Anolis sagrei: one gene and its partner. The protein of the gene in region 2 purifies or fractionates together with the protein of the main gene of each other region. This does not show direct contact. Links are inferred from orthologs where the notes say so. Each region holds a gene or a part of one and is shown on either strand. Other genes may lie near its edges. The genes, in order: MTMR12 and MTMR2.

Region 1 (9,784 bases), on a different chromosome or scaffold from region 2:
TCCTTGCCTTAAGAAAACTCCATGAAACTCTTAAGTACCATAAGTCCAGAGGCAACTTAAAAACACACGCAAATACACACAGTATACTCAGGAACTGAAGTTTTGTATCTTTTGTAGGAGGTGTTGTATTGTTTAGCAAAGTTCTTCTCTAAAGCATTTTAAATTATTTTACAATTATATTTTAACTGAAATGTTTTAATAATGGCAACACATTTAATTCTATTTAAATATTTACCTTTGATGTGTGTTTAACTGTATGGCTTTTAAAACTGTGATACACTTTGGGTAGTAGTAGTAGTAGTAGTAGTAGTAGTAATAATAATAATAATAATAATAATAAACTTTATTTGCAGACTGCCCTATCTCCCCAAAGGGACTCAGGGTGGTTTCCAAACATTCAATTCCTACAAAGAACATATAAACAAACTAGACCAAAACATAATACATCTAACAAAATACAAACAACCTAACTGCAAACTTAATACAAAAAAAATTAACCAAAAAACAACTTAAATAAACCATAAGTAACATAATCATATAGTATAAATTAACAGGATAAAACATTTAACACATTTTAAAAGCTAAGACCTTGTTAAAAGGTGGGATCAATCCTGAGGGGGGAAAGGTGAGATATAATAAAAGTAGCCATAATATTAATAATAATTTTAAATGGTTACAGGATTTTGTATTTCTTTAACTAAACTGTTTCTGAGGGCTTTAAAAAATATTTTTAAATAGTATTTTATTATTTCAACTTGAAGTGTAAGTTGTTTTAATATAGTACATAGGTTAATTCTATTTTAATGTTTGCTTTCTGTTGTGTTAGCAGTTGCACTGTTGGTTTTTAAACTTAGAAGCCTGTTTTGGATCCCAATTGTGTGAGGAAAATGGAATAATACTATAGTAATACTAATAAAGCCTAATAACAAAAACAACATAGTAACAACTAACAATGGCATAGCAACTAATAATGGCACAGCAACAACTGTTGTGTGAGCTGTTTTAATACAGTTTAATTATATTGTAACAGTCACTTTCTGTGTGTTTGTACTGTGGTGGCCTTTTAAATTGTGAGTCTGCAATAAAGTTCAATTGTGGAAAGAATGCAGGATAATAAAATTTAAAATACTAATAACTTATTTGATCCCCAACTGTGAGAGGAAAACAGAAAAGTAATATTAACACTACTAATAGTAGCACAGTAACTACTAATAACTACCAGTGGTTCTCTGCCTTTGGTCCTCCAGGTGTTTTGCAGTTTCAGAAATCCCAGCTAGCTTGCCAGCTGTTAGGAGTTGTGGAGGCAAAAGTCAAAAGCACCTGGAGGACCAAAGGCTGAGAACAACTGAACTACTCTTTGAACTTGAGCCTTGAGTTGTTTCACTACAACGAATAGTTTAATTCTGTTTTACAATTAACTTTTTGTCATGTTCGCAACTGTGACATTTGGTCTTTTTGGTTGTAAGCCTGCTTTAAGTCCCAACTGTGGGAGGAAAGTGGAATAACACTGTAGCAATACTAATAATAGTAGAATATTAACTACTAATAACAGCTACTCATTAAACTTGAAGCTTGAGCTGGTTTAATTGCATTGTAAAGTTCCCTTTCTGGGTGTATTTGTGGTATTATTTGAAGTTGTCAACCTGCTTGGAGTTCCCACTAAGTAAGGAAAGCAGAATACTGTAGTAACACTAATAACAGCATAGCAACTGCTCTTTGAAGTTGAGGTGTGAATGGTTTTAATATGGTAAATAGTTCTACTCTATCGTAATGTTCCCTTTCAGTATGCATTTGTGGTGTTCTCTGGAGTTCTGAGCCTGCTTTGAGACATTATTGTGGGAATGAAGTGAAATAATAAAATAAAGAGTAATAAAAGTAATACCAATAACAGCAAGGCAATAATAATGGAATAACATATATTAATAACTATGCTTTGGACTTGAGGTATGAGCTACTTTAATACAATAAATAGTTAAATTATATTCTAATGTTTCTTTTCTGTATACATTTGTGGTCTCCTTTGAAATCATGAGCCTCCTTTGAGCCTCAAGTGTGGGAGGAAAGTGGAATAATAAGAGAAATACTAATAACAATAGTAAGTACTATGGCACAGCCACTACTCTTTGAACTTGAGGTATAGGTTGCTTTAATATAGTAAATAGTTCAACTTCATTGCAATGTTCCCTTTCCATGTGAGCCTGCTCTGAGTCATAACTGTGGGAGGAAATACTGTAAAACTAATAACAACATAGTAACTACTACGAATAATTACACTTTCAACTTGAGTTGCTTTAGTTCTATTGTAACGTTCCCTTTCATGACATAATTATGGTGCTCTTTCAAGTTGTAAGCCTGCTTTCGAGTTCCAATTGTGTTAGGAAAGGATACTGGTAATAATAATAAATCCAATTCAAAATCCAATTATCACAGGGAGAGAAAGTGAGGTAAAATCCTCTGAACAGGGTCACAGGCAGCAGAAGAAAAACTACAGGGGTGTTAACTGTTCTCTATACTATCCAGAACTATCCATCTATCCGGCTGGAGTTGCACTTAAAATGTACCCATTCCAACTTAAATTTAGGAATTGTGAGAGCTGAAGTCCAAAACTCCTGAAGACAGGCACCAATGTGTGTGTCTTTTGCCAATTAATCTAATTTTGTTTCAAGGCAGCATACAGTTATGTAAAGAAAATAGCTAGCTAAATATCAGTGTGGTGTAGCAATAATATAACAAAAATAGGTAGCTATATATCAATGTGGTGTAGAAGACGGAGAATTGGTCAAGGACTCAGGGGATCAGGAAGTTTATTTCATATAAAAAATAGGAGTTCAAGTGGCTAAATATCTTTTGACCAAAAACAGGCAACAGCATTGTCTGTAGCCTCCAACAATTCTTCCTCTGTACCAGGAAGTCACAATCTCATTCTAAGAAGAAGGCAGTAGCAAAGCGCCTTTGAAAGGTTCCCTATGGACCTTAGGGAAGGCTGAGCGAAGGAAGATTGATGCTTTTGAGCTGTGGTGCTGGAGGAAAGTTCTGAGAGTGCCTTGGACTCCAACCAGTCCATCCTCCAGGAAATAAAGCCCGGCTGCTCATTGGAGGGAAGGATACTAGAGACAAAGCCGAAGTACTTTGGCCACATCACGAGGAGACAGCAAAGCCTGGAGAAGGCAATTATGCTGGGGAAGGTGGAAGGCAAAAGGAAGAGGGTCCGACCAAGGGCAAGATGGATGGATGGCATCATTGAAGTGACTGGACTGACCTTGAAGGAGCTGGGGGTGGTGACGGCCGACAGGGAGCTCTGGCGTGGGCTGGTCCATGAGGTCACGAAGAGTCGGAGACGACTGAAGAAATGAACAAGATATAGACCTTGAAGGAGCTGGGGGTGGTGGCGGCCGACAGGGAGCTCTGGCGTGGGCTGGTCCATGAGGTCACGAAGAGTCGGAGACGACTGAAGAAATGAACAAGATATAGACCTTGAAGGAGCTGGGGGTGGTGGCGGCCGACAGGGAGCTCTGGCGTGGGCTGGTCCATGAGGTCACGAAGAGTCGGAGATGACTGAAGAAATGAACAAGATATAGACCTTGAAGGAGCTGGGGGTGGTGGCGGCCGACAGGGAGCTCTGGCGTGGGCTGGTCCATGAGGTCACGAAGAGTCGGAGACGACTGAAGAAATGAACAAGATATAGACCTTGAAGGAGCTGGGGGTGGTGGCGGCCGACAGGGAGCTCTGGCGTGGGCTGGTCCATGAGGTCACGAAGAGTCGGAGACGACTGAAGAAATGAACAAGATATAGACCTTGAAGGAGCTGGGGGTGGTGGCGGCCGACAGGGAGCTCTGGCGTGGGCTGGTCCATGAGGTCACGAAGAGTCGGAGACGACTGAAGAAATGAACAAGATATAGACCTTGAAGGAGCTGGGGGTGGTGGCGGCCGACAGGGAGCTCTGGCGTGGGCTGGTCCATGAGGTCATGAAGAGTCGGAGAGGACTGAACGAATGAACAACAACAATATAGAATATAGATATGTAATATTACTAATAATATTACAGTATAATGGTTTACTACAATATAGTTATATGTAACACTGATATTGTGCTAGGCTAATAATATAACATATTGTATGTATATAGATATATCTTGTAAGCTGCTCTGAGTCCCCTTCGGGGTGAGAAGGGCGGCACAGAAATGCCATAAAGAAATCAGCAAGGGCTCAGCCAGGCAGAGGCAAGCCCTCTTTTTTGGGCCACGCCCCTTTTTCCCTTGTGGCCACGCCCCCTTCCGCGCGCCTCGCCCTCGCGCCCCTTCCCCCCTCCCTCCCTCCCTCGGCCTCCCAACGGCCGCTCTCCTTCCTTGCCAAGGGCTTCTTCCTTCCTTCCTTCCTTCCCCTCCGCTGGCTCACCTCGGGGCTGATGTAGGAGACGAAGGAGGGCTTGGCTGCCTTGGGCCCCGCGCCGCCGGCTGCGCCGAGCATCTCTGCGCCCCTCTGCGGGCCCCAGGCGCAGGCCCCGGCCGGCTTCCCCCACGGCGAGGAGGGCGAAGGCGAGGGCGGCGGCGTGGGCAGCTCCTCCCACGAGGACTCCGCGCCCTCCTCCCCCTCCTCTTGGTTCTCCTCCTCTCTCGCTAACGCCGCCTTGCTCCGTCTCACGTAGTTAATCCCTCCCATCGCAGGCAACGCCAACGCCGCTGCTTCTAGTGCTTCTAGTGCTGCTACTTCTGGCTCTCCTCGCCTCTCGGGTGTGGCACGCACGCGCGCGGAGCTCCATTTCTGCTCACGCGCCTCCCGCGCCCCGCCCCGCCATTGGGCCGGCGGGCAGCCAATCACAGCGCCTCTCCCCGCTTCTGTCGCTGCTCTGGGAGGAGCCGAGGGCGGGGTCGTTCCCCAGACTGACAGCCATAACCTCCAATCAAGACAATCAAGGACTGTAAAGACAAGCAACTGATTGCTGATCAGGTTGCTGTAAGTTTTTAGGGCTGTATGGCTATGCAGGACCTTTTTCATCCTCTGGGGAGGCCCTCCCCTCGCTTCCACCTACCTCGCAAGCAGAGGAGGCCCTAGGTAATTTTCAAACAATATTTTGGCGGCCCCCCCCCCCCCCAACCAATTATTGATATATATTTTCTGTTCCCCGTGGGAGTTCTGTGTGCCATATTGGGTTCAATTCCATCATTGGTGGAGTTCAGAATGGTCTTTGATTTTAGGTGAACTATATATCCCAGTATGGGAGCCCCCAGTGGCACAGTGGGTTAAAGCACTGAACTGCTGAGCTTGTTGATCGAAAGGTCGCAGGTTTGATTCCGGGGAGCGGCGTGAGCTTCCGCTGTCAGCCCTAGCTTCTGCCAACCTAGCAGTTCGAAAACATGCAAATGTGAGTAGATCAATAGGTACCGCTCCGGCGGGAAGGTAACGGCGCTCCATGCAGTCATGCCGGCCACATGACCTTGGCCACATGACCTTGGACGTGTCTATGGACAACGCTGACTCTTCGGCCTAGAAATGGAGATGAGCACCACACCCCAGAGTCAGACATGACTGGACTTAATGTCAGGGGACAACCTTTACCTTTACTATGGCTATGCAGGACCTTTTTCATCCTCTGGGGAGGCCCTCCTCTCGCTTCCCCCTCCCTCGCAAGCAGAGGAGGCCCTAGGTAATTTTCAACGGTAAGCAAACAATATTTTGGCGCCCCCTCCTCCCCCAACCAATTATTGATATATATTTTCTAGGTTCTTGTAGGTTTTTTTGGGCTATATGGCCATGTTCTAGAGGCACTTCTCCTGACGTTTCTCCTGCATCTATGGCAAGCATCCTCAGAGGTAGTGAGGTCTGTTGGAAATAGGAAAAAGTGTTTATATATCTGTGGAATGGCTGGGGTGGGGCAAGGAGCTCTTCTCTGCTGGAGCTAGGTGTGAATGTTTCAACTGACCACCTTCATTAGCATTTGAAGGCCTGCCTGAGCCTGGGAAAATCTTTTGCTGAGAGGTGTTAAGATGTGCCTGGTTGTTTCCTCTCTGCTGTTTTGCTGTTGTAATTTTAGAGTTTTTTAATACTGGTAGCCAGATTTTGTTCATTTTCATGGTTTCTTCCTTTCTGTTGAAATTGTCCACATGCTTGTGGATTTCAATGGCTTCTCTGTGTAGTCTGACATGGTGGTTGTTGGTGTGGTCCAGCATTTCTGTGTTCTCAAATAATATGCTGTGTCCAGGCTGGTTCATCAGGTGCTCTGCTATGGCTGACTTCTCTGGTTGAAGTAGTCTGCAGTGCCTTACATGTTCCTTGATTCGTGTTTGGGCGCTGCGATTGCTTGTATTGTTGTGTTTGGGCTCGGCCTCATGTAAGCCGCACCAAGTCCCTTGGGGAGATGGTAGCGGGGTAGAAATAAAGTGTTATTATTATTATTTCCCATCCCCAGGGGAGGCCCTCCTCTCGCTTCCCCCTCCTTCTCAAGCACGACTTGTGGGGACAAGGGAGAGATCCTTCTCCATGGTGGCCCCTCGGCTTTGGAATTGGGTACCCGGAGAGATTAGCCAAGAGCCCACCCTGGCAGCGGTAATAGTATGATAACCTTGCCCTAACCTTTACCCTAACCCTAAACTGTACCCTAACCATAACCCCTTACCATAACCCTAACCAAAACCCTAAACCTTAACCTAATCCTTAACCTAACCCTAAACTGTACCTTAACCATAACCCCTAACCTTACTCTAACCTAAACCCTAAACCTTGCCCTAAACCTAAACTGTACCCCAACCGTAACCCCTAACCCTTACCCTAACCATAACCCAAACCCTAAACCTTGCCCTAACCCTTAACCTAACTCTAAACCGTACCCTAACCGTAACCCCTTACCCTAACCATAACCCAAACCCTAAACCTTGTCCTAACCCTAACCCTAAACTGTACCCTAACCATAACCCCTAACCCTTACCCTAACCATAACCCAAACCCTAAACCTTGCCCTAACCCTGACCCTAACCCTAAACTGTACCCTAACCGTAACCCCAACCCTTACCCTAACCATAACCCAAACCCTAAATCTTGCCCTATCCCTTACCCTAACCCTAAACCGTACACTAACTGTAACCCCTAACCATAACCCTAACTCAAACCCTAAACCTTGCCCTAGCCCTTAACCGTACCCTAATCGTAGCCCTAACCCAAATCCTAAACCTTGCCCTAACCCTTACCCTAACCCTAAACCGTACCCTAACCGTAACCCCTAACTCTTACCCTAACTCTAACTCAAACCCTAAACCTTGCCCTAGCCCTTAACCTAACCTTAAACTATACCCTAACCGTAACCCCTAACTCTTACCCTAACCCTAACCCAAACCCTAAAGCTTGCCCTAACCCTTATCCTAAACTGTACCCTAACCGTAACTCCTAACCCTTACCCTTACCCTAACCATAACCCAAACCCTAAACCTTGTCCTAACCCTTACCCTAAGCGTCCCCTCTTTTTAATCCTTCCTTCTCTCTCCCCGCTCTCCCCCCGCAGCCTCTCTTTCCTTATTCACAGCCGCCTTTGCGGCATCTCCGTAACACTTGGAGCTTCTGGACCCAGCTATCATACTATCACCCTGGCAGCCTTCAGGAAGAGCCTAAAAACCTGGCTGTTTTGGTGTACCTTTGAGGAATGAATACAATCCCCGTACCATGACCAGCTCAGCACAATATGCCCATTGATGCACTTTATCTCATCCTTCAATGATATTCTCCCCATTGCTGTTCCCACCTGAAATCCCCCCATCACGCACACTACCCTACTCATCCATCTCACCCAGGGTTTGTATATTTTAATTCTACCCCTTTAACTCGGCCCAGCCCAGTGTGCACATTTTTATTATTTTATTTCATTTCCTTTATTTGATTTTGTATTAATTTGTTTTGTTTATATTTCATTTGGGGTTATTATTTGTTGTATGTATTTTATTTCGATTTGTTGTAATTGTTGGGCTTGGCCTCATGTTAGCCGCCCTGAGTCTCCGTTGAGGAGTTGGTGGTGGGGTATAAATAAAGTATTAATTATTAATATTAATACTATTATCCTCTAGAAGCATTCTCTCTTGACGTTTCGCCTACATCTATGGCAGGCATCCTCTTTTTTTTCTTTTTTCCCCTTTTTTTGTATTGGGTTGGTGGTTAGAAGACTACAACTATTGGAGGACATTCACATAAATTCCACATATCTGTGGTATCATGTCCAGGGTGGGAGAAAGAACTCTTGTCTGTTGAGGTAGGTGTGAATGTTTCAATTGGCCACCTTGATTAGCATTTAATAGCCGAGCAGTTTTCAAGGTCTGGCTTCTTACTGCCTGGGGGAATCCTTTGTTGAGAGGTGATTAACTGTCCCTGGTAGTTTCTTGTCTGGAGTTCCCCTGTTTTTGAATGTTGTTCTTTATTTGCTGTTATGATTTTAGAGGTTTTTTTTTAAATAGTAGTAGCAAGATTTTGTTCATTTTCATGGTTTCCTCCTGTCTGTTGAAATTGTCCACATGCTTGTGGATTTCAGTGGCTTCTCTGTGTAGCCTGACATGGTGGTTGTTGGAGTGGTCCAGCATTTATGTGTTCTCAAATAATATGCTGTGACCAGGATGGTTCATCAGGTGCTCTGCTATGGCTGACTTCTGTGGTTGAGCTAGTCTGCAGTACCATTCATGTTCGGGCAATGCTGCGTTTGGTGGTCCCTATGTAGAGTTGTCCACAGCTGCATGGTATCATGGCCAATTGAAACATTCATACCTACCTCCAACAGACAAGAGTTCTTTCTCCCACCCTGGACATTTCAGAGATATATAAACCCAATTTTCCTAGTTTCTAACAGACCTCACAACCTCTTAAGATGCCTGACATAAATGCAGGTGAAACATCAGGAGAGAATGCTTCTGGAACATGGCCATACAGCCCAAAAAACTTACAGCAACCCAGTGATTCCATGAAAGTCTTTGACAATACATTGATTGCTGATCACTTAAAGGTGAGATGAATTCCATGGCAAACTGTTATTACTTCCTGTCAAAAGCATTGCATAAATAAATATCAAACTGATAAATTAAAGGGAGCACAAGCAGCTAAATAATTATAGACCAAAAATGGACAACATTGACTACATGGTCTGTAGCGTTAAACAGTTCTTCCTCTCTTTGACCAGAAGCTGGCCACTTGGAGTGGCTCTGGTGTCACTGTAAGAAGGTCCTCCATTGTGCACGTGGCAGGGCTCAGACTGCATTGTATTAAGTGGTCTGTGGTTTGCTCTCCTCCACACTCTCATATCGTGGACTAAATTTCCATTGATCAGAAGCTGGCCACTTAGAGTGTCTTAGCGTGTGCTCTCCTCCTCCACCAAATTATATTTAATTCTGGGTTTCTGTGACTTTTTCAGGCTGTATGGCCATGTTCTAGAAGCATTCTCTCCTGATGTTTCACCTGCATTTTTGGCAGGCATCCTCAGAGGTTGTGAGGTCTTTTGGAAACTAGGAAAGTGAGGTTTATATATCTGTGGAATAATGTCCAGGGTGGGAGAAAGAAATCTTGTCTGCTTGAGGCAAGTATGAATGTTGCTGTTGGCTACCTTGATTAGCATTTAATGGTCTTGTAGCTTCAGTGCCTGGCTGGTTGCTGCCTGGGGGATCCCTTGTTGGGAAAAAGCCTTTGACAATACATATAATTAATTCTCTTGCTGGAACTGCGGTGGGGACAAGCAGCAGCCAGCTAGAACCTTTTATGTTTAAATCTCCCATTTTATGGACGATCAACGCTCTGGCACCCAGGATACTTTTTGCAAGTGTCT
Region 2 (9,897 bases):
CTTTTTAATTAAAATGTGGAGATCTTGGGGCTTTGAAGTTTCAAAGGCATTGCCATCCAGGCCACAGCATCTTGTTGGGTCCAGATGCAAACATCAGCAAAAAGGGATTTGGCACCACAAAGTAGATGCAACACAGTTCTTGGGAAAAGAGCATTTTCAAGGTTCTTTAAGTGGAACCATGGCTCAGCAGTAAAGCACATGATTCTCATGCAAAATTTATAGGCTGAAGTCTTATCTCCACATGTTTTGTGTAATGTGAACTATCTGCAGCTTGGCTTCCAGATATCAGTTGCTAGCCAGGCATGATCAGCAGTTTAGATCAGACATAAGACAGTACTACACTTGGTCAATACAAATGAAATGCACAGATATAGGGTGGGTGACATCTGGCTTGAAAAAACTACTTGTGAAAGGGAGGTAGAAGTCTTAGTTGACCACAAGCTGGACGTGAGTCAACAGTGTGATGTGGAAGCTAAAAAAGCCATTGTAATTCTAGGCTGCATCAATAGAAGTATGGTGTCTATAGATAAGTGCCTCTCAACCTGGGGTTTGGGACCCCTGGAGGGGTTGCACAGGGGGTTTCAGAGGGGTCGCCAAAGATAACCAGGAAACACATATTTCTGATGATCTTAGGTGCCCCCTTGGCAGAGAAGGCTGAAGTTCTCTCCACCTATCCTTCTCTTCCTTTTTGGTGTCGGTGAACTACAACTCCCAGAATCCAAAAACAGTCCCCACCCCAACCCTACCAGTACTCAATGCTGGCCACAGGGGTGGCTCAACCCATTATGCAAAGTAAGCATTCGCAGTATACTTGAGGAACTCTTGAGGAACTCTTGGAAGAAAATAGACATTGACATATGCGAGTTGTAGTTACTGGGAGGTATAGTTCACCTACAATCAAAGAGCATTCTGAACTCCACCAATGATGGAATTGAACCAAATATGGCACACAGAACTCCCACGACGAACAGAAAATATATATCAATGATTGGTTGGGCGGGGGGGGGGGGGGCAAAATACTGTTTGCTTACCGTTGAAAATACTGTTTGCTTACTGGCCTCTGGCTGGCCATGTAGATAGTGTGCCAAGTTTGGCACAGATCCATTGAGGGCTGGGTTCAGAGTGCTCTTTGATTGCAGGTGAACTATAAATCCCAGCAATTACAACTCCCAAATGACAAGGTCTATTTTCCCCAAACTCCACCAGTGTTCACGTTTGGGCATGTTGAGTATTAATGCCTAGTTTGGTCCAGATCCATTATTGTTTGAGTCCATAGTGCTCTCTGGAGGTAGGTGAACTACAACTCCAAAATTCAAGGTCAATGCCCACCAAACCCTTCCAGTATTTTCTCTTGGTCGTGGGAGTTCTGTGTGCCAATTCTGGTTCAATTCCATCGCTGGTGGAGATCAGAATGCTCTTTGATTGTACATGAGCAACTACATGTAGCAACTACAACTCCTAGCAACTACAACTCCCAAATGACCAAATCAATTCCCCCTTCCAACCCCACCAATATTCAGATTTTGGCATATCGGGCATTTGTGCCAAATTTGGTCCAGTGAATGAAAATACATCCTGCATATCAGATATTTACATTACGATTCATAACAGTACCAAAATTACAGTTGGGAAGAAGCAATGAAAATAATGTTATGGTTGGGGGTCACCACAACATGAGGAACTGTATTAAGGGGTCGTGGCATTCGGAAATTTAAGAACCACAGCTCTAGATGGAGGGAAGTCACAGTCCCACTCTATTCTGCTTTGGTCAGACCTCACCTAGAATAACCCTGTGTCCGGTTCAGGACAACACAATCAAAGAAGGATATGGACAACATAGAATGTGTCCAGAGAAGGGCAACCAAAACAGCCAAAGGTCTGGAAGCCAATCCCTATGAGGAATGGCTTATTTCGGGAGCTGAGCATGAGTCGCTTGGAGAAAAGAAGGTTAAGACATAATAGCCATGTTTAAGGATCTGAAAGGATGTCAGATCAAGGAAGGGAACACTTGTTTTCTGCTGCTCTGAAGTCTAGGACATGGAGCAATGGATTCAAATTACAGGAAAAGAGATTCCATGTAAACATTAGGAAGCACTTCCTGGTGATAAGAGCTCTTCCGCAAGTGGAGTTTGCTGCCTGGGACTGTAGCGGAGCTCCTGCTGTGGAAGTTCTTAAGCAGAGGCTGGACTTCCATCTGTTGAGAGTACTTTGATTGTGTTCTACTGCATGGCAGAATGGGATTGTCTCTTGTAATCTTTTCCAACTCTATGATTCTAAGCAACACCCACTGAAATCCCCTTTTCTATAAACCAACAAAGGTATAGGAGCCACTTCTTGCTTTCAGTCTAAATTATATAGTTCTGAGCTGAGGGGAATCGAGATGAAATGAGAGATTGATTACTGTTCATAAACAACTAGATTTCACAGGCACTCTCTGGGGATTATGGGAACTGTAGTTCATCACATAGAGAAGCACCAGATGGGGGAAGGACGACATAATTATCTATGTGCCGCCGGACTAGATGTCATGGTCATGGAGTGCATCTACTTGGTAGAATCAATGCACCTTGACACCACTATGTATGGTTCAATGCGATGGAATCTAATGAGTTGTATTTTGGGGAGGCACAAGCCCTCTTTGGCAGAGAAGGCTACAAAATCTGGTCAAGTTATGCCTCCAAAATCCCATAGCATTGCCTAGGGGATGCCCGGATGTTTTGATGTTTTACCATCCTTGTGGCAGGATTCTCTCATGTCCCTGCATAGGGAGCTGGAGCTGACAGAGGGAGCTCATCTGTGCTTTCCCCGGATTTGAACCTCCAACCTGTCGGTCTTCAGTCCTGCTGGCACAAGGATTTACCCATTGCACTACCAGGAGCTTCTTATTCATGAGTCACAATAAGTCAAAGGTCAAGTAGACAAACTTTTTTAATGTCAGAAACGACTTGAGAAACTGCACGTCGCTTCTGGTATGAGAGAATTGGCCATTTGCAAGGACATTGCCCAGGGAACGCCTGGATGTTTTGATGTTTTACCATCCTTGTGGCAAGCTTCTCTCATGTCCCTGCATAGGGAGCTCATCCGTGCTCTCCCCAGATTCCAACCTCTGACTTGTCAGTCTTCAGTCCTGCTGGCATAAATGTTTAATCCATTGCACCACTGGGTGCTCCTTATTCATAAGTCACCATAAAGTCAAAGGTGAAATAGACTTTTTTTTTTCATGTCAGGAGCGACTTGAGAAACTGCAAGTTGTTTCTGGTGTGAGAGAACTGGCCGTCTGCAAGGATGTTGCCTAGGGGACACCTGGGTGTTTGATGTTTTACCATCCTTTTGGTAGGCTTTTTTCATGAAACTGGAGCTGACAGAGGGAGCTCATCTGCACTCTTCCCGGATTAGAATCCCCGACTTGTCAGTCGTCAGTCCTGCTGGCACACCGGGGACTCTGCTATGGTAGTTAAATTGATAGAATCATAGAATCAAAGAGTTGGAAGAGACCTCATGGGCCATCCAGTCCAACCCCCTGCCAAGAAGCAGGAATATTGCATTCATAGAGTTGGAAGAGACCTCGTGAACCATCCAGTCCAAACCCCCTGCCAAGAAGCAGGAAAATTGCATTCAAAGCACTCCTGACAGATGGCCATCCAGCCTCTGTTTAAAAGCTTCCAAAGAAGGAGCCTCCACCACACACTGGGGCAGAGAGTTCCACTGCTGAACGGCTCTCACAGTCAGGAAGTTCTTCCTCATGTTCAGATGGAATCTCCTCTCTTGTAGTTTGATGCCAGACTGCATTAATTCTTCAGTGTAGATCAGGCATGGGCTAACTTCGGCCTTCCTAGGAAATGTTAGGAATTGTGGGAGTCGAAATCCACAACATTTGGAGGGCTGAAGTTTGCCCATTCCTGGAGTAGATGCACCTCTGTTTGCAGAAGCTTTACCACCAGCTGAGAGAGTGTGACTCACCCCAAGGCCACTCAGTGAGGATACAAAAGCCCTGCCCTCAAATCCCCCCCAGGCCTTGAGCATCTTATTGCACATCCTTTGGAAACCAAATCCTCTTTTCTGATAGGGAGGTGAGTTGGTTAGAAGCACACATTTCCCTGCAATCTGGAGATGGGTGGAAGGATCAGAGCTGAAAAGTCACGACATTCCCCCTCTTCCCTCCCTCCCTCTTTCCTTCCCCCTTGGGCGGCGCTGCGGGGGAGTAACGAGTAACGAGAAGTAACGCCGTTACCTGGAGAGAGAGTCGATGCTGGGCTGGCGGGTGGTAGAAGGAGGCGCCGGCTTGGAGGCCAGGCTCTCGCAGCTGGAACTCTTCTCCATGGCTGGAGGAAGGAGAGACAGAGAGAGAATGGGAGGGAAGAGATAGAAAGATAAAGGGAGAGAAAGAAAGAGAGGAGCGGAGGGGAGGAGGAGAAATAGGTAGGTAGATAGAGAGATGAATGGGGGAAAGATAGATAGATCAGGCTGTTGCTGCTGCTGCTGCTGTCAAGGGAGTGGAGAGGGCGCGGGCGCTGCCATGTTGAGCCCACAGTGCAGTGCGCATTGCTAGGCGGGGATGTGATGCTCGATGCTCAGCCTCCCTCCTCCGCTTCGGGAGGAGCCGCTTCGCGGGAGGCAGGAGACAGAAGCACAAGCGGCCAACGCCGGCTCCTTCCCTCCCTCCCCTTTCCAAGCTTTGGGGCACATTCAGCCCTCGCTATCCGCTGGGCTTGGCTCCCAAGACCCCCTTCCCTGGGACGCCCACATCCCTGGATGCTCAAGTCCATGGAGATCCTGTTAAACATGTAAACATGGCTAGCCTATCACCTTTCCGCCTCCAAGTCATAGAATCATAGAATCAAAGAGTTGGAAGAGACCTCATGGGCCATCCAGTCCAACCCCCTGCCAAGAAGCAGGAATATTGCATTCAAGTCACCCCTGACAAATGGCCATCCAGCCTCTGTTTAAAAGCTTCCAAAGAAGGAGCCTCCACCACACTCCCTCCAGGGCAGAGAGTTCCACTGCTGAACGGCTCTTACAGTCAGGAAGTTCTTCCTCATGTTCAGATGGAATCTCCTCTCTTGTAGTTTGAAGCCATTGTTCCGCGTCCTAGTCTCCAAGGAAGCAGAGAACAAGCTTGCTCCCTCCTCCCTGTGGCTTCCTCTCACATATTTATACATGGCTTTCATCTCTCCTCTCAGCCTTCTCTTCTTCAGGCTAAACATGCCCGGCTCCTTAAGCCGCTCCTCATAGGGCTTGTTCTCCAGACCCTTGATCGTTTTAGTCACCCTCCTCTGGACACATTCCAGCTTGTCAATATCTCTCTTCAATTGTGGTGCCCAGAATTGGACACAATATTCCAGGTGTGGTCTAACCAAAGCAGAATAGAGGGGTAGCATTACTTCCCTGGATCTAGACACTATCCTCCTATTCAGGCATGTAGCCAGGGGGGGGGGCTCGGGGGGCTTCAGCCCCCCCCCGAAATTCTCATGGTGGTTCGCGAAAAGGCCTTACTGGTGCATTATTTAAACAGTTATGTTTATTAATATCATGATTTGATCACCATTCTCAATATATCCCATATGTATGGGGGTATTGGGGTAATGATACAAAAGGTTTGCTAGGCTAGACCCTCTTTCACTCAGACTCAGCCCCCCCCCCGAAACTCAGCCCCCCCCCGAAACCCCCCCTGAAATTTTTTTAGCCCCCCCCGAAACGAAATCCTGGCTACGGGCCTGCTCCTATTGATGCAGGCCAAAATCGCATTGGCTTTTTTGCCGCCACATGACATTGTTGGCTCATGTTTAACTTGTCCACAAGGACCCCAAAATCTTTTTCACACGTACTGCTCTCGAGCCAGGCATTGTCCCCCATTTTGTATCTTTGCATTTCATTTTTCCTGCCAAAGTGGAGTATCTCGCATTTTTCACTGTTGAACTTCATTTTGTTAATTTTGGCCCATCTCTCTAAACTGTCAAGGTCGTTTTGAATCCTGCTCCTGTCCTGTGGAATATTGGCTATCCCTCTCAATTTGGTGTCGTCTGCAAACTTGATGAGCCTGCCTTCTAGCCCTTCATCTAAGTCATTAATAAAGATGTTGAACAGGACCGGGCCCAGGACGGAACCCTGTGGCACTCCGCTCGTCACTTCTTTCCAGGATGAAGAGGAAGCATTGGTGAGAATCACCCTCTGGGTTCGTCCATTTAACCAATTACAGATCCACCTCAGTGTAGTTTTGCCTAGCCCACATTGGACTAGTTGGTTTGCCAGAAGGTCATGGGGTACCTTGTCGAAGGCCTTATCGAAATCCAGGTACGCTACATGCCTTATTGAAATCCAGGTATGCTCAAGTCCTTGGAAATACTGTTAAACATGTAAACATGACTAGCCTATCACCTTCCAGCCTCCAAGTCATAGAATCCTAGAGTTGGAAGAGAACTCGTGGGCCATCCAGTCCAACCCCCTGCCGAGAAGCAGGAAAATTGCATTGAGCCAACAATGTGATGCTGCGGCAAACGGGATTTTGGCCTGCATCAATAGGAGTCTAGTCTAACTGGAGCGACTTACAGGGAGCAGTCAACCCCCCTGTTTAAGGAACTCCATTGGCTGCCATTCATTTTCTGGTCCCAATTCAAGGTGCAATTTCTTACCTACAAAGCCCTGAACGGTTTGGGACCCACCTACCTGCATGGCTGCATTTCTGTGTACGAACCCACGGAATCTGTTCGATCATCTGGAGAGGCCCTGCTCTCGCTCCCTCCCCCTTTGCAGGCACAATTGGTGGGGACGAAGGAGAGGGCCTTCTCTGTGGTGGCCCCCGACTCTGGAACTTACTCTCCAAGGATATCAGACAAGCCCCTACTGCAACGCTCTCTACGTGGGGTTGCCTTTGAAGACTGTCTGGAAGCTTCAAATGGTCCAACGGTCAGCAGCCAGGCTACTAACGGGAGCGGCGATCAGGGAGCACACAACTCCTCTGTTGCGTCAGCTCCACTGGCTGCCGGTTTGCTACCAGGCACAATTCAAAGTGCTGGTTTTACCCTATAAAGCCCTAAGTGGTTCTAGCCCAACTTACCTGTCCAAACGCATCTCCTCCTATGAACCAGCTAGGGTGTTAAGATTGTCTGAGGAGGCCCTGTTCTCAGTCCCACCTGTTCTCAGTCCCACCTGTGCCACAAGTACGATTGATGGGGACGAGAGACAAGGCCTTCTCAGTGGTGGCCCCTTGGCTGTGCAACGCCCTTCAGATGGAATCTCCTTTCTTGTAGTTTGAAGCCATTGTTCCGCGTCCTGAAGCAAGAGAAGGCTGAGAAGAGACATGATAGCCATGTATAAATATGTGAGAGGAAGTCACAGGATGGAGGGAGCAAGCTTGTACTCTGCTGCCCTGGAGACTAGGACGCGGAACAATTATTCTATGAATCTATGGTGCTACAGCCTTCCAGGTGAGGTCTGACCAAAGCAGAATAGAGTGGGACTAGCACTTCTCTCACTTAGACACTCTCCTCTTATTGATGCATCCAAGAGCTGTTCCAGCTGCCGCATCACATTGTTGAGTCATGTTCAGCTTGAGACAGTAATTTCAACTAAATGTTAGAAGAGAGTGGGGCTAGTACATCTCTCATCTTGACACTATCCTATTGATGCAGTTGAGGGCCGATCCAGCTGACGCATCACATTGTTGAGTCGTGTTCATCTTGAGACAGTAATTTCAACTAAACATTAGATTGTGGAGTCTCGTTTCCATGGACCTGCTGGAGATGTTCTAGTTACATTTCCTATATTGAACAATAGGTTGGACTCAATGGCCTAAGAAACCTCTTACAACTCCGTGATTCCGTCATTCATGATCTTTCTTTTTTAATGTTTTCACTATTTCTTTCATCTTTTTCTTATGGTGGAACATCTGCGTAAAAGGGAAAGTTAGAAAAGCTTGCACACTACGTTCTAATGAGAAGCATGAAATATCCAATATACATTACAGGAAAATAAATTGTGTTGTTGAAAGCTTTCATGGCCGGAATCACTGGGTTGCTGTGAGGTTTTCTGGCAGTATGGTTACCAGTACAGTGGTCCCTCGCTACTTCACGGTTCGCGTTTCGCAGACTCGCTGTTTTGCGGTTTTTCAATATGGACTTAAGAGTGTTCGTCTGCATAGAGAGGCTGCCTCTGCAGATAAAGCCAAAGCCAAGGATTACGTGAACAACACGTTCAAGGAGGGTTGTGTAGTGAGGAGGGTCTATAAAGACTATAAGTATGTGAGGAGGGTCTATAAAGACTTAAAATAGTGTATAACTACTAAAATTATAGTGTATAACTACTAAAATAATGTATAAATATTAACATTTTTAATTGCAGTGGTGCAGTGGGTTAAACCCTTGTGCCAGCAGGAATGAAGACCGACAGGTCGCAAGTTCAAATCTGAGGAGAGGCGGATGAGCTCCCTCTATCAGCTCCAGCTCCTCATGCAGGGACATAAGGGAAGCCTCCTACAAGGAGGATAAAAACATCAAATCACCTAGGCATCAACCAGGCAACGTCCTTGCAGACAGTCAATTCTCTCACACCAGAAGCGACTTGCAGTCTCTCAAGTTGCTCCTGACACGACAATTTTTTTAAATTAAAATTAATATAGCATCCCTACTTCACAGATTTTCACTTTTCATGGGTGGTCCTGGAACGTAACACCCGTGATAAGTGAGGGAGCACTGTATTAAAATCTGTTTACCAGTATTAAAAAACACCAGAATCAAGACAGTAAATAATGAACACCACTCAGAAACAAGAAAACTCCAGACAGCAAGCAAACAAGTGTCAACTAACACCTCCAAAATAGAGGATGCCTCTAGGCAACAAAGGTCAGGCTACCTCTATGCAGATACCTCACTGATTGACTTGCAGCTTCATGGCTACTCAGTGCTATTCCAGCTTGCTAATTGGAACATTCACACTTGCATCAAACAGACAAGGCTTCTTTCTCCCACCTTGGATATTCCAACTATCTATCTATCTATCTATCTATCTATCTATCTATCTATCTATCTATCTATCTATGGATGGAATATCCAGGGTGGCAGAAAGAACACTTGTTTGTTTGATGCAAGTGTGAATGTTGCAATTAGCAAGCTTCAATAGCTTGAATACACACACACGCACACACACACACTCCACATGCCTCACCTCCAACAGACCTCTGAAGATGCCAGCCACAGATGCAGGCAAAATGTCAGAAGAGAATGCTACTAAAACATGGCCATATAGCCCCAAAAACTCACAGCAATCTAGGAAAAAACATTAAAATCTGTAAAATAGCTTTTAATTTTTGAGGCTTCTCTAACTGTAAACCCTCTCCAGTACTGAAGAGTCATGTTTTCCCCCATCTTTCCTTTTTTAAAAGAATTGGAAGTCAGGAAATCACAGAAAAGTCACCAGGGGAACAATATGGTCTGGACAGTCCTCAAACAATGGCAGATGGACAATGGGTTGTTGTAGGTTTTTTCGGGCTATATGGCCATGTTCTACAGGCATTTAGAACATGGCCATATAGCCTGAAAAAACCTACAACAACCCAGTGATTCTGGCCATGAAAGCCTTCGACAATACGCAGATGGACAATGTTTCCCATAAGTGTGGCAGTGTAGCCATATCATGAAAAGTTTCAGCCCTTTCTGGTCAGGAAGGAGTTTCCAGAAAGTAGCTATGTTATCTCCTACAGGAAAACTAATAAATCATCTTTTAACAAGACTAAAATGAAAATTCCAGGTGACGTGTGTGGAGGTGGATGCAGTAATAAATGCATTGATTTTTACAGTTTTCAACCCACTTTGCAGAAGGACATGAGTGCAATGACACCTTTTATGGTTCTTAGCCAACAACAATGACAGGCGGTCATGTGTTTGGTCAGAAAAACTGGTATTT

What was found.
Region 1: the proteins of MTMR2 (region 2) and MTMR12 purify together in Homo sapiens (affinity purification with mass spectrometry; 5 studies listed by BioGRID and IntAct, with this or other methods). This does not show direct contact. The link is inferred for Anolis sagrei from reciprocal best matches to the Homo sapiens genes MTMR2 and MTMR12.

The regions. Positions count from the first base shown.
Region 1 is NC_090022.1:281,060,456-281,070,239, reverse strand, and holds the start of MTMR12 (myotubularin-related protein 12), read right to left. Parts: upstream 4,755-9,784; 5' UTR 4,660-4,754; coding exon 4,396-4,659; intron 1-4,395. UniProt on the Homo sapiens protein: Acts as an adapter for the myotubularin-related phosphatases. Regulates phosphatase MTM1 protein stability and possibly its intracellular location. By stabilizing MTM1 protein levels, required for skeletal muscle maintenance but not for myogenesis.
Region 2 is NC_090023.1:20,351,606-20,361,502, forward strand, and holds the start of MTMR2 (myotubularin-related protein 2), read right to left. Parts: upstream 4,600-9,897; 5' UTR 4,321-4,599; coding exon 4,232-4,320; intron 1-4,231. UniProt on the Homo sapiens protein: Lipid phosphatase that specifically dephosphorylates the D-3 position of phosphatidylinositol 3-phosphate and phosphatidylinositol 3,5-bisphosphate, generating phosphatidylinositol and phosphatidylinositol 5-phosphate.